Linked DNA regions of Macaca fascicularis. The protein of the gene in region 1 purifies or fractionates together with the protein of each later gene. This does not show direct contact. Links are inferred from orthologs where the notes say so. Each region holds a gene or a part of one and is shown in the gene's direction. Other genes may lie near its edges. The genes, in order: SORBS3, WASL and DLG5.

Region 1 (3,645 bases):
GGGTCTGAGGGGAAGGAGGCTTGGGAGGGCCTCAGCTTACCATGCGGTCCTCGCCTGCAGGGAGCTGACTCTGCAGAAGGGTGACATTGTCTACATCCACAAGGAGGTGGACAAGAACTGGCTGGAGGGAGAGCACCATGGCCGCCTAGGCATCTTCCCTGCTAATTATGTGGAGGTGAGCAGGAGGGACAAGAGCAAGCAGGGGTTGGGAGAGACTTGGGTTTCCTAAGGCAAAAAACTGTGAGGGGCTGGGCCATGTCTCAGTATTGTCCTTGGCCCCCACAGGGCCTGGCCCAGTGCTCTGCATGACCCCAGGAAATGTTTGCTAAGTGAGGGTGGAGCCCAGCCAAGGGGAGGACCCAGCAGCCAGCTCCTCAACCCTCCGTGTCCCAGACTTTCACCATTCAGATCCATCTTTCTAAAGCTATCTTTGGGAATCACCCTAAAGGCAACTAGCAAGAGTGGGAAGTATGCAACAGTTTATAAATCACATATACACACATAACCTCTTTCAGGTGTATTACTGCCCTGGTTCCTCTCACTTCTCAGAGAGTGATAGTTTATCTCTGTTTTACAGATGGGGATGCCAAGGTTCAGTGACAAGTTATTAGGTAAAAGATCTAGAATCTGAATCCAGGTCTTTTGATTCCAGAGAGAGGTTCTGGGCTTGGCAGATAAAGGGCAATAGGTGACTTTTAAGTTATGTCAAGTTATCCAAATTACTGGCATAAAGATGTTCATTATAGTCTCTTACTATTGTTTTAATGTCAGTAAAATATGTAGTGATGTCTTCTCTTTCTTTCGTTTTGTTTTGTTTTGAGAGATGGAGTCTTGCTCTCGCCCAGGCTGGAGTGCAGTGGCGGGATCTTGGTGCACTGCAACCTCCACCTCCTGGGTTCAAGTGATTCTCCTGCCTCAGCTTCCCAAGTAGCTGGGACTACAGGCGTGCGCCACCACGCCCAGATAATTTTTGTAATTTTTTTTAGTAGAGACGAGATTTCACTATATGTTGGCCAGGCTGGTCTCGAACTCCGGACATCAGGTGTTCCACCCACCTCAGCCTCCCAAAGTGCTGGGATTACAGGCGTGAGCCACCGCGCCTGGCCGATATGTTCTCTTTCATTCCTGATGTTGGCAATTTGTGTCTTCTCTTATTCTGGCTAGAGCTTTATTAATTTACTTGACCTATGGATTTTATTGATGTTTTTCTCTTGTTTTTGTTTTCAATTTCATTGATTTCTGCTTCTTTATTATTTCCTTATTTTTGCTTGCTTTAGGTTTACTTTGTTCTTTTTCTAAGTTTCTTGGGGTGAAAGTTTAGACTATTATTTGAAGCTTATTTTTCCCTAATGTAAGAATGTCAATGCTATACATTTCCCTCAGAATGCTGCTTTAGCTGTGTCTCACACGTTAATTTTTCGTCAACTCTGTTTTCTCATCTCCTTCGCGACTTCCTCTTTGACCCATGAGTTGGGTTGTTGTTTAATTCAGGCTCTTGATTTGATAGATATCATTAGGCCTCCCTTGCCTGCCCAATAATCCACTTGGTCCTGAAATTTCACAAAGTATATACAGTATTTCACTCCACCAGTCATTTCTGTCTGTGTGTGAAATAGTTGATTGGCTGCTTGATTTTTATGGGCAGAGTGAAGCAAAGAGAATATGAGGATTCTGGGCTCCTGCTGGGGTAGATGGGGAGGAGGAACCAAGACACTGGAACCCAGGGACACCCGGTTCTCGGCAGTGAGAAAAGGGTGAATCCTCAGTTTTGGAACAGTTCCCCAAGTTCTCCCTGCTGCTTGGAATGCCTCATTTTCTTCTGTGGTCCAACTTAAACTCTCTAATTGGACTGGCTTCCATCTTTTCTCTTGGTGTTTTTCATTCAGTAATGCCCACTCCACATACCCCTATGGAAAATGTTTCTTCCGGGGAGCCTTCCCAGACTCCTCCCCGTCCTCCAGCTCCCCTTGGCTGTGGCCACCCCTGGCTGCCCTCAGGGCTTATTTCTGGTGTTTATATCTTTCTCTGCCAAGGGGCAGGCCCACCTTCTCTTTGCTGTCTCACAGGAACCCCCAGTCTGTGCTATGTTGATGCCAAGGCCAAATCTTTCTCATGACCTTTCTTCATGCAGGTGCTGCCTGCAGATGAGATCCCCAAGCCCATCAAGCCCCCGACCTACCAGGTGCTGGAGTATGGAGAGGCTGTGGCCCAGTACACCTTCAAGGGGGACCTGGAGGTGGAGCTGTCCTTCCGCAAGGTGGGCCAGGCAGGAGATGGTGGGGTGGGTCGGGGCAGGCGAAGGTGTAGGTAAATATGTGCACTAAAAACACATTTTTTTTTTTCTTTTTGAGACAGAGTTTTGCTCTGTCGCCAGGCTGGAGTGCAGTGGCGCCATCTCGGCTCACTGCAACCTCTGCCTCCCGGGTTCAAGCAGTTCTCCCGCCTCAGCCTCCAGAGTAGCTGGGACTACAGATGCCCGCCACCACGCCCGGCTAATTTTTGTATTTTTAGTAGAGATGGGGTTTCACCGTGTTGGCCAGGATGGTCTCAATCTCTTGACCTCATAATTCACCCACCTTGGCCTCCTAAAGTGTTGGGATTACAGGAGTGAGCCATCGCACCTGGCCTAAAAACACTTTTTTAAAAAAGAGTCTGATGTACCTAGCTTCACCTAGGATTTCAAAATTTTCCCCAGTCTCTTTCATTATGCTTCCTTTAGTGTAGTCTTTTTTATTTTTTTCTGCATTTTTTTGAGACAGAGTCTCACTGTGTTGCCCGGGCTGGCCTTGAACTCCTGGGCTCAGGCGATCCTCCTGCCCCTGCCCCTATCCCAGCCTCCCAAGTAATTTTGGTCCATTTTTAAAAGATCATCATAAACTTCTAGAGTTATATATATTTTCAACTGCAGGTTGCAGTGGATCATACTCAGCATTTTTAAAGGTATAGACAGAAACGTTAGCGTGCGTCGCGGGCAGGAAGAGCACTTTATCCTACTGTAGGCAGTTCTGTGTACGCACATATGTATGTATTCTGGGCTGTTATTAAAATCTTTTTAACTGTGGACTGTGGTGAAACAAGTTTGAAAAATGCTGTTCTAGAAAGCAGAGAAGTGGTCTGCCTTTGGTTGATTTGGGGAGCAGCGACTATGCTTCCAAAATCAGCCAAAGACAGACCATAGTGAATGCTACCCAGAAGAGCTGGCCCCAGGGACAGAGGGGAAAGAAGGTGGCTGGATGGAGAGAGCAGGGGAAGGCAAGGGCTGGAGGCCACCCTCCCAGGGAGTGGTTCTACCTAATGTCAGCCAGCCTATGGCCTTGAGGACTCCCTGCCTGTCCTGGGGAGTGTGTTTTTGACACACTCATGACAGGGTCCCCCAGCGTGAGGCAGGAACAGGACCCAGGTAGGGCAGTAGTGGTAGCACCTGTCCCCTGTGCCTAAGGAGTGGACTGTTGATCTCATTCACACCTCATAGTGACAGTATGGTTATTTTCACTTAACAGAGGAGAAAACAAGGCTCAGAGAGACAGAGCAGCCTGCCTGAGGCCACACAGCTTGACCTGGCGGAGCTGGGTTTGGATCTGCATTATTAGCCACGGGCTCACCTGTGATTGGAGCTCTGGGGAGGGACCTTGCTATGCATCCCAG
Region 2 (3,645 bases), on another chromosome or scaffold:
GCAGGATGCCTATGACGCTGTCATCCTGAGATTGTACACTTGCAAACACAAGTGTGTTTTGAGCAGGCCAAAAAATGTCCCACATTCTTCAGTCTTCTCTTTGAAACCCAGTGTCCCAGTATACACATTTTTTGTTTTTAAGTTATCGTAATTTTTAATGACTCTTGTAGAAATTTTTCTGTTCCTTTGTGTCCTGCTCAGTATTGTGTGTGAAGTTCAAGGTTGAGTTTGGTCTGTAATGTTAAAAACATAACATTGAGGGGAAGGGGGAGGGATTGCATTGGGAGTTATACCTGATGTAAATGACGAGTTGATGGGTGCTGACGAGTTGATGGGTGCAGCACACCATCATGGCACAAATATACATATGTAACAAACCTGCACGTTATGCACATGTACCCTAGAACTTAAAGTATAATTATAATAATAATAATAATAATAAACATAACATTGAACATTGTTATATGAGCAAGTCTTTATGGACTTTTGATCCTCACAGTATACTGATCTTACATTTCTGACTTTAGTATCCAGTTATAAAAGGTTTGTGCATACAATTGTTCTTTAGAATTCCTCTTACCAAAAGAGGGCGGCACCCCTCAGGCATAGTTAAGTAAACCTTAAACAGCGTATCTCCAAATCTTAATGTAGTCTATTTTTTATTACAGAGCCCAATTCCATTGAACTAAGATACCATAATTACTTAATCAGCTCCTATTTTAGGTTATTTCAGTTCTTCCTCTTTAAAAAGAATACATATTTATGTGAAATACTTTATTTTTATATTTACATTAAAATGCAAAGTATATTCTAAATGATTTTCTTAATTTTTAGTTTAGAAGTGAAATTACTGGATCAGAAAACATAATTACAGCTTTCAGAGGATTTGTAAGTGCTTTATCAGTATATATATGTATCACTTTCATAGTAACTGAAGGTTGAATAGTTACATTCTAGTTATAAAACTTAACTTAGGATAAAATTAGTTTATACCTTTTCATGATACAGTCTTGAGACGGAAGGTGGCAACATGGTGTACTGGGAAATCCTAATGCCCTAAAGTGTCCATTGCATGTAACCAGTTGGCTTCCCTTTTATACATCTGAAAGGGTTCTATTTAGGGACTATCCTTGGTAAAATTGAGACAGTAGTCTTTCAGATCTTTTTCGTATCCTCAGTATAGCATTAAAACTATGTGGCCCCTTCTGCAAATCACTTAAAATCTTAAACTCACTTTAGAAAGAAGATATTATAATCTGCCTTCCAGGGTGGTAATACTGCTTTCACGTTTGACTCAGTCCTTATCTAGATAAGTGCTTAACTGCTTTATAGAAGTTAGCCGTTACTACTACTTCATTGCCTAAATGTTCACTTTATTGGGAAACTGTATAATAGGGGGAATAAGAATGCTAGGTTTGAAGTCGCAAATTGCCTGGATTTGGAATTTCAGCTCTGCCATTTAGCTGTGTGGTATTGGGCAAATTACCCTCTTTAGTGTCGGGTTTCTGAAGTATAAAATGAGGTTATCATAGTAATAAAAATTAAATGAGGCTATATTTAAAAGTGATTAACACATTTTCTAACACATTTTAAGCATCAGTAAATGTTTTCAGTAATTGTTATGTGAGTGTTATATTAGTTCTTTATTGCTACATAAGAAATCACTTCAAAAACTAGTGGCTTAAAATAACAATACATGTTTATTATCTCCTTGTTTCTGTGAATCAGGAATTTAGGAGCTGCTTAGCTGGGTGGCTGCAGTCAAGCTGTCAGCAGGGGCTGTGATCATCTACATACTATTTTATCTACATACTATTTTGAACCTAATGGTTATAAATTTTATATTTTGCAGACTATGTCTTCAGCAGTGGTGCAGTTATATGCAGCAGATCGGAACTGTATGTGGTCAAAGAAGTGCAGTGGTGTTGCTTGTCTTGTTAAGGACAATCCACAGAGATCTTATTTTTTAAGAATATTTGACATTAAGGTGAGCTTTGATTTGCTTTCACTTTAAACTAGGTGATTAGGTTTTCTTTTTTTTTTTTTTTTTTTTTTTGAGATGGAGTCTCGCTTTGTCGCTCAGGCTGGAGTGCAGTGGCACCATCTCGGCTCACTGCAAGCTCCGCCTCCTGGGTTCACACCATTCTCCTGCCTCAGCCTCCGAGTAGCTGGGACTACAGGCACACACCACCACACCTGGCTAATTTTTTGTATTTTTAGTAGAGACGGGGTTTCACCATGTTAGCCAGGATGGTCTCGATCTCCTGACCTTGTGATCCGCCCGTCTCGGCCTCCCAAAGTGCTGAGATTACAGGCGTGAGGCACCGCGCCCGGCTAGGTTTTCTATATCAATTACAATTCAGTTTAGATTTGATTATCCTACATGTGATATTTAAATTTGTACATAAACTGATACTAGAAGAGCGAAGCTTGGTTTTTAGATATTGACATATGGAAATCATGACCAAATGGGAACATGTCTGAAGCCAGAATGTGAATAGTTTCCTATTTTATCTTTCTACTGCTACCATGCATTAAGCCTTTTTTTTTTTTTTTTAATTATGCCTATTGGTTCTTGGGCTTTCTCTACACTCTGTATTTTTTTAATGATACTCTTTTATTCTATCTTGTTCATTATAGATTAGCATACATAGTCTATTCAGGGAACAACAAAATAATATTTTAGCTCAGTATGTACTATTATTTAGCCCAGGTTTAAAACATTTCAATATCTATAAAAATCTGTTTGCTACTCATTTTTCCTTATGTTGTTTCTCATGATAGACTATATTCAGATTTTCATAGCTTTATGTCCCTCACTCCCAATCATAAATCACATTGCTATAGATTGGATACCCTTTGTTAGATATTCATTTCTTACAGTTGTCATAAAAACATCATTTTGCTAAGATGAAGTCTCCATTATTTTTAAAAAACCTTTCTGTAAGTAAGCCTCTATGGTTAATATTTATATGTGACAATAAGTGCAATGAGATTTTAATTACAAAATACTAAAACTACCTCTAAACTACTGGGCACTAATATGACCTGATAGATAACAGTCAAGAGATTTTTACACCCCTGGTCTCAGCTTTATTTGTAAAATCAGATAACCATCTTGGTCTGTTTTGAAGTATTTCACTGAGTTTAAATGAGATCTTAGTTATGGTATTTGGTAAATTGGTGCATCTTTTGTTGTTGTTGTTTTGAGACAGGGTCTTGCTCTTGCTCTGTCACCAGCCTGGAGTGCACAGCTTACTGCAACCTTGATCTCCTTGGCTCAAGCAATCTTCCCACCTCAGCCTCCTGAGTAGCTGTGACTACAGGCACATGCCACCACACCTGGCTAATTTTTGTATTTTTTTGTAGAGATGGGTTCTGCTGTTTTGCCCCAGGCTGGTTTCAAACTCCTGGACTCAAGTGATCCTCCTGCCTCAGGCTCCCAAAGTGCTGGGATTACAGGCCTGAGCCACCAGTCCCAGGCTAAATTAGTGCTTCTTAAAGTCTGCTTCCAAGACAGCTGAGAGATATGACATGCTTCTGTCACTAGCAGTGGCTTACTATGGCAGTGATTCTGGAGGGTGGGGAACACATACATAATTTGAAAGAAACCCCCAAGTGCTTTGACATATTTCTCATAACTGT
Region 3 (4,445 bases), on another chromosome or scaffold:
CTCCCTCCACCATTTCTCCTGAGGACAAAACACATCGGCAAGGGTTATTGCTTTGTTCCACCTTGTGCAGCTGCTCAGAGGGGAGTCCAAATCCAAAGTGCAAATTCTGATACTCTTGTTCTTTCTACCATATAATGAGTTCGTTTCCATAAATAAAAACGACTTCTCCCCTTGAAGAAGCAGACTAAGAAGACGTTGCTTTTTCAGGGAAGAGGGGAGGCATGTGGCTGGGACTGGCAGTGTGGGTAGACAAAGTGGCCCCAACCCCCAGCGAGATCCACTCATTCCATCGCAGATGTTTGAAATGGACAGAGGAGCACTGCGGGGTCACTGAGCGCAGTCAGGGTTCTAGCTTTGAAGGACCTTGTCCTGCAGTCAGGGAGGTAAGCAGTATGTGTCCACAAACGGCTGGGCTGTCGTGGAAGAGGAGACATTCTTGGGCTTTAAGGGGGACTGCAGGCCCTTTCCAGGTCATCAAAGGAAGCAAGGTAGTCCGCTGATTTGTCTCCCTCTGAGACATTTAGGGGGAGAGCGCCCCACTTGCCAGAAAGACCAAGGACTGCACCGCAGATGCCCACCTTTCTCTTCCTCATCCAGCGACACACCCTCCTGCCAACATCCCAACTCCTTTAGACTTTGGGAGCAGCTCTTCTCAAATGCTGGCGCGGGGAACAGCCTATTTACCGCAGTTGAGGCGATTTTATTGGGAAATTCTCCACTTAGGTGCTCCTTGGAGAGGAAAAGCCTCATGGATTCGGCGGAGGTGGTAATCTGGAGATGTCCAAATTTAGGGGAAACCTTCCCCACCATTCGTCTCCAGGCTTTAATTTGGAGTTCTCAGTTTAGGACCCACTGGATTGGGGGCAAGATTTGTATGAGGGGGTCTCCAGCAGCTTGTGGGCTGGCCGCGTGCCCGGCCTGACTCCGCGTCCCCCACCTCCGGCTGCGCCTGGGCCTCGGGGGACCGGGAACCAGCCGGCGCCGCGTCCCCGCCTAGCGGGCGGGCCGGGGGCGGGGACCCCTCCCCTCCGCCCGTCCCCCCCTCCGCCCGTCCCCTCCTCCGCTGCTGCCACCTCCCGGAGGGACGGCCTGGGGAGGGGAGAGAGGAGGGACCGGCCGGCGGCGGCGGGGCTGGGGCTATGGCGGAGCGGACGGCGGCTGCGGGGCCCCGGTGAACCGGGCCGGGGTGCACGGGGGCCGAGGCAGCCTCCGAGCCGGGTCGGAGCCGTCGGGGGCCCGGGGAACACTGCCCAGGCGACTTTCTCCCGGGAGTTGTAGTCTCGCTCCGGGGGCGGCGCGCGGCCCGGCTTTCGGGGCGAGTTTTCTCGCGGGGCGGGCGGCGCGCGCGGAGGCTGAGGGGGAGGGGGAGCATGCCCGGCTGGAGCCCGGCCTCGGGGCGCGCCCCGGCCGCCGTCCCCACCTCCGCCTCCTCCTTCTCCTCCTGCGTCTCCTCCTCCTCCTCTTCCAGTCCCGCCGCCGCGGCAGCCAACATGGCTGCGCTCCGGAGCCCGGGAGGCGGCCGCTGCTGAGCGCCGCCCGCCGCCCCGGGCCCCCAGCCCGCCCAGGCCCCGGCCCCAGCCCATGGCTCCCGCCGCCTCGCGGCTCCCGGCGCGCTAGGGCTGCTGCCGAGGCGCTCGCCCGCCCGCCCGCCGGCCTCGGGGGGCCCGGGAGGCGTCCGGCGGGGCGGGGCGGCGCAGCCCGCCACCATGGAGCCCCAGCGCCGGGAGCTGCTCGCCCAGTGTCAGCAGAGCCTGGCCCAGGCCATGACGGAGGTGGAAGCCGTGCTCGGGCTGCTCGAGGCCGCGGGAGCGCTCAGTCCCGGCGAGCGGCGGCAGCTGGACGAGGAGGCGGGAGGCGCCAAGGCGGAGCTGCTGCTCAAGCTGCTCCTGGCCAAGGAGCGGGACCACTTCCAGGACCTGCGGGCGGCGCTGGAGAAGACGCAGCCTCACCTGCTGCCCATTCTCTACCTGAACGGCGTCGTCGGGCCGCCGCAGCCCGCGGAAGGAGCGGGTGAGTGGCAGACCCTCGACCCCCGCCTCTGGGACGCGCCCTCCGCTTCTCCCTCCTGCTGGCGGAGGGGGACCTCGCCGGGGCCGCCGCTCCACCTGGCGATGGCCTTGGTGGACTCGTTCCTCTAGCCCAGCTGGGGAGGCGGCGGTGCGCGGACCCCAAAGTCCCGCCGCCTCCCCAAGTCCCGCCGTTCGCTGTGAACAATGCCCCCAGCTGAAGGCCTTCACCCTCAGGTGCCTCGGCGGCAGGGTCCCCGGGGGCCACCAGGTCCAGTAGCGGGTAGGGGGTACCTCGAAGGATGTTCATCAGTCCCTTTTGTGAGGCTCCTAACCACCCGCTAGTCTTCTGGGACCCTGTGCTAGCCTTTAACCAAGGATAACGTCTAAAAGAATGGGACCTGGGCCAGGACCCATACTCTTAAATTTTGGTGCCTGCCATCCTGTGCCGGGGCCACCGCTGCCTTTTCATTTTCTGGCTGTCCCAGCTCCCTTTTCTCTGCTCAGAGCCCAGTCTCGCCCGGACTTGTGGCTGATTGTGCACAATGCCTGCCTGGGTTTCTTTGGAAACTGTGGGCCCTGAAAAGTTGGGGAAGTTGCATTGCACCATGGGAAAATCCTAGTAGTGGCTGTTGGGGCTAAGTTCCCTCCCTGAGAGCACCGAGCTGCTTAAGGAGGAAGGCTGGTGACTGGTTCCCTTGGGGGTGCCTTTTGGAACCCCTGTGTCCTTGGTCTTGGGGATGACTGATTTGTAAGTGTGTGTTTCGGGGCAAGAACGGATACTGGCGGGAGTTTCTGACAAGTGGTAGGCTTGTCCTGGTCTGGTCGCGGAGTGTGGAGCCAGCCTTTCAGACAAGGCAGCTGGAGGAAGAAGACATGGCACTGAGGGAGGAAGAGAACAAGCATTTATTGGGCATCTATTATTGTGGCAGGCACTCTGCCTTGTCACGTTCAATTGTCGTTGCCACTATGTGAGCTTTCTGTTATTCTTTGCCAGAGAGAAGACTCTGACTTGGAGTGGTTAAAATGCCCAGAAAGTATTGGGGACCAGGAATTTTGAATTATAACCTATTGTTTGAACTTGTTCAGAGCCAGGAAACAAAGTGCCATCTTTCTAGGTCTTGTCCTTGTTTTAACAGTGAATCGATAGGTACAGTAAAAATAAATAAAGATATATGTATAAAAGAAAAACAAGTGAACCGAGAGGGCTGAGAAATTGCCCTTAGCAACTTGAAGGTCAAAGGCTGATGGGACCCGTTTATTTGACTGTTAAAAGCTCCACTTATTAAGGGAATGATTTTATAAGCCGTTCCTGGTAACAGCTCTCTTATATTGGCCATCTTAACCTCACTTTTTATAGCTGCAGGAAACTGGCAGAGAGACTAAACTGCTGGCCACACAGCAGGTCATTTCATTGGTGGTCCTCCTGTCTCCACTTTGAGCTTCTGACTTGCATCTCTGTCCGTCAAACCTGCATTCTTTCCCCCCAGTTGTGGTCATGTCAGAGTTGCTGGGCAAACCTAATCCTTTCCTGGGATAGTGCTTTGGGAGATGCTAGGAAGGGACTGTCAGATGTGGCCATGAGGACAAGGACAGAGGGGATCCCAACAAAGTAATATTTGTTTTTAATTGTATCTGTGTATCTAATCTATCTCTGAAGGAAGAAGTTAAGATCTGTTTCTGGAAGTCTTTCCTAGGAAGCACAGAAGTTAAGAGTACAGGCTAGAAGTCTGCGTTTGGAAGCATGTGAATCAATGCTCACCTTAATCTCTGAGAATAGATTGATTGATGGATCAATTGCCATTAATTAGGTCTCATCCTTTCCGTGCCTGGTGGAGAATGTGGGGCCTCATGGGGCTGAAGTTCCAGGAGCTAGTTGTGACCTCTAAGGAAGGCAGAGATTAGGGTTTGGATTTTATCCCCTCAGGCATTGATTTCAGACCCCAGTTTTACCACAATGCAGAGTTCTGTGACTTTGGAGAGGGTCATGAAATCCTTAGAAAAATAATTTTCAAGGAGAAGTTAAGTTCATTTTATTTAATACATTAAAAAAAAGTTGGCTGGATGTGGTGGCTCATGCCTGTAATCCCAGCACTTTGGGAGGCTGAGGCAGGCAGATCACTTAAGGCCAGGAGTTCGAGACCAGCCTGGCCAACATGGTGAAACCCCATTTGTACTAAAAATACAAAAATTAGCTGGGCGTGGTGGCGGGCGCCTGTAGTCCCAGCTACTTGGGAGGCTGAAGCAGGAGAATCACTTGACTCTGGGAAGTGGAGGTTGCAGTGAGCCGACATGGTGCCACTGCATTCCAGCCTGGGTGACAGAGCAAGACTCCGTCTCAAGAAAAAGAAAGAAAAAAGTTAGTACAGCATTTGGTATGGCAAGATGCCACCTGAAGCCCCTGGCGGAGAGGGTGACATGGTGTGTCAGCAAACAGTG

The links.
Region 2: the proteins of SORBS3 (region 1) and WASL purify together in Homo sapiens (co-immunoprecipitation; 3 studies listed by BioGRID and IntAct, with this or other methods). This does not show direct contact. The link is inferred for Macaca fascicularis from reciprocal best matches to the Homo sapiens genes SORBS3 and WASL.
Region 3: the proteins of SORBS3 (region 1) and DLG5 purify together in Homo sapiens (co-immunoprecipitation; 3 studies listed by BioGRID and IntAct, with this or other methods). This does not show direct contact. The link is inferred for Macaca fascicularis from reciprocal best matches to the Homo sapiens genes SORBS3 and DLG5.

The regions. Positions count from the first base shown.
Region 1 is NC_088382.1:25,659,872-25,663,516, forward strand, and holds part of SORBS3 (vinexin), read left to right. Parts: intron 1-40; exon of another isoform or gene 41-60; coding exon 61-175; exon of another isoform or gene 176-226; intron 227-2,131; coding exon 2,132-2,257; intron 2,258-3,645. UniProt on the Homo sapiens protein: Vinexin alpha isoform promotes up-regulation of actin stress fiber formation. Vinexin beta isoform plays a role in cell spreading and enhances the activation of JNK/SAPK in response to EGF stimulation by using its third SH3 domain.
Region 2 is NC_088377.1:165,352,608-165,356,252, reverse strand, and holds part of WASL (actin nucleation-promoting factor WASL), read left to right. Parts: intron 1-1,852; coding exon 1,853-1,987; intron 1,988-3,645. UniProt on the Homo sapiens protein: Regulates actin polymerization by stimulating the actin-nucleating activity of the Arp2/3 complex. Involved in various processes, such as mitosis and cytokinesis, via its role in the regulation of actin polymerization.
Region 3 is NC_088383.1:68,536,017-68,540,461, forward strand, and holds the start of DLG5 (disks large homolog 5), read left to right. Parts: upstream 1-1,583; 5' UTR 1,584-1,706; coding exon 1,707-2,010; intron 2,011-4,445. Other genes in the region: uncharacterized protein, read right to left, coding at 843-1,583. UniProt on the Homo sapiens protein: Acts as a regulator of the Hippo signaling pathway.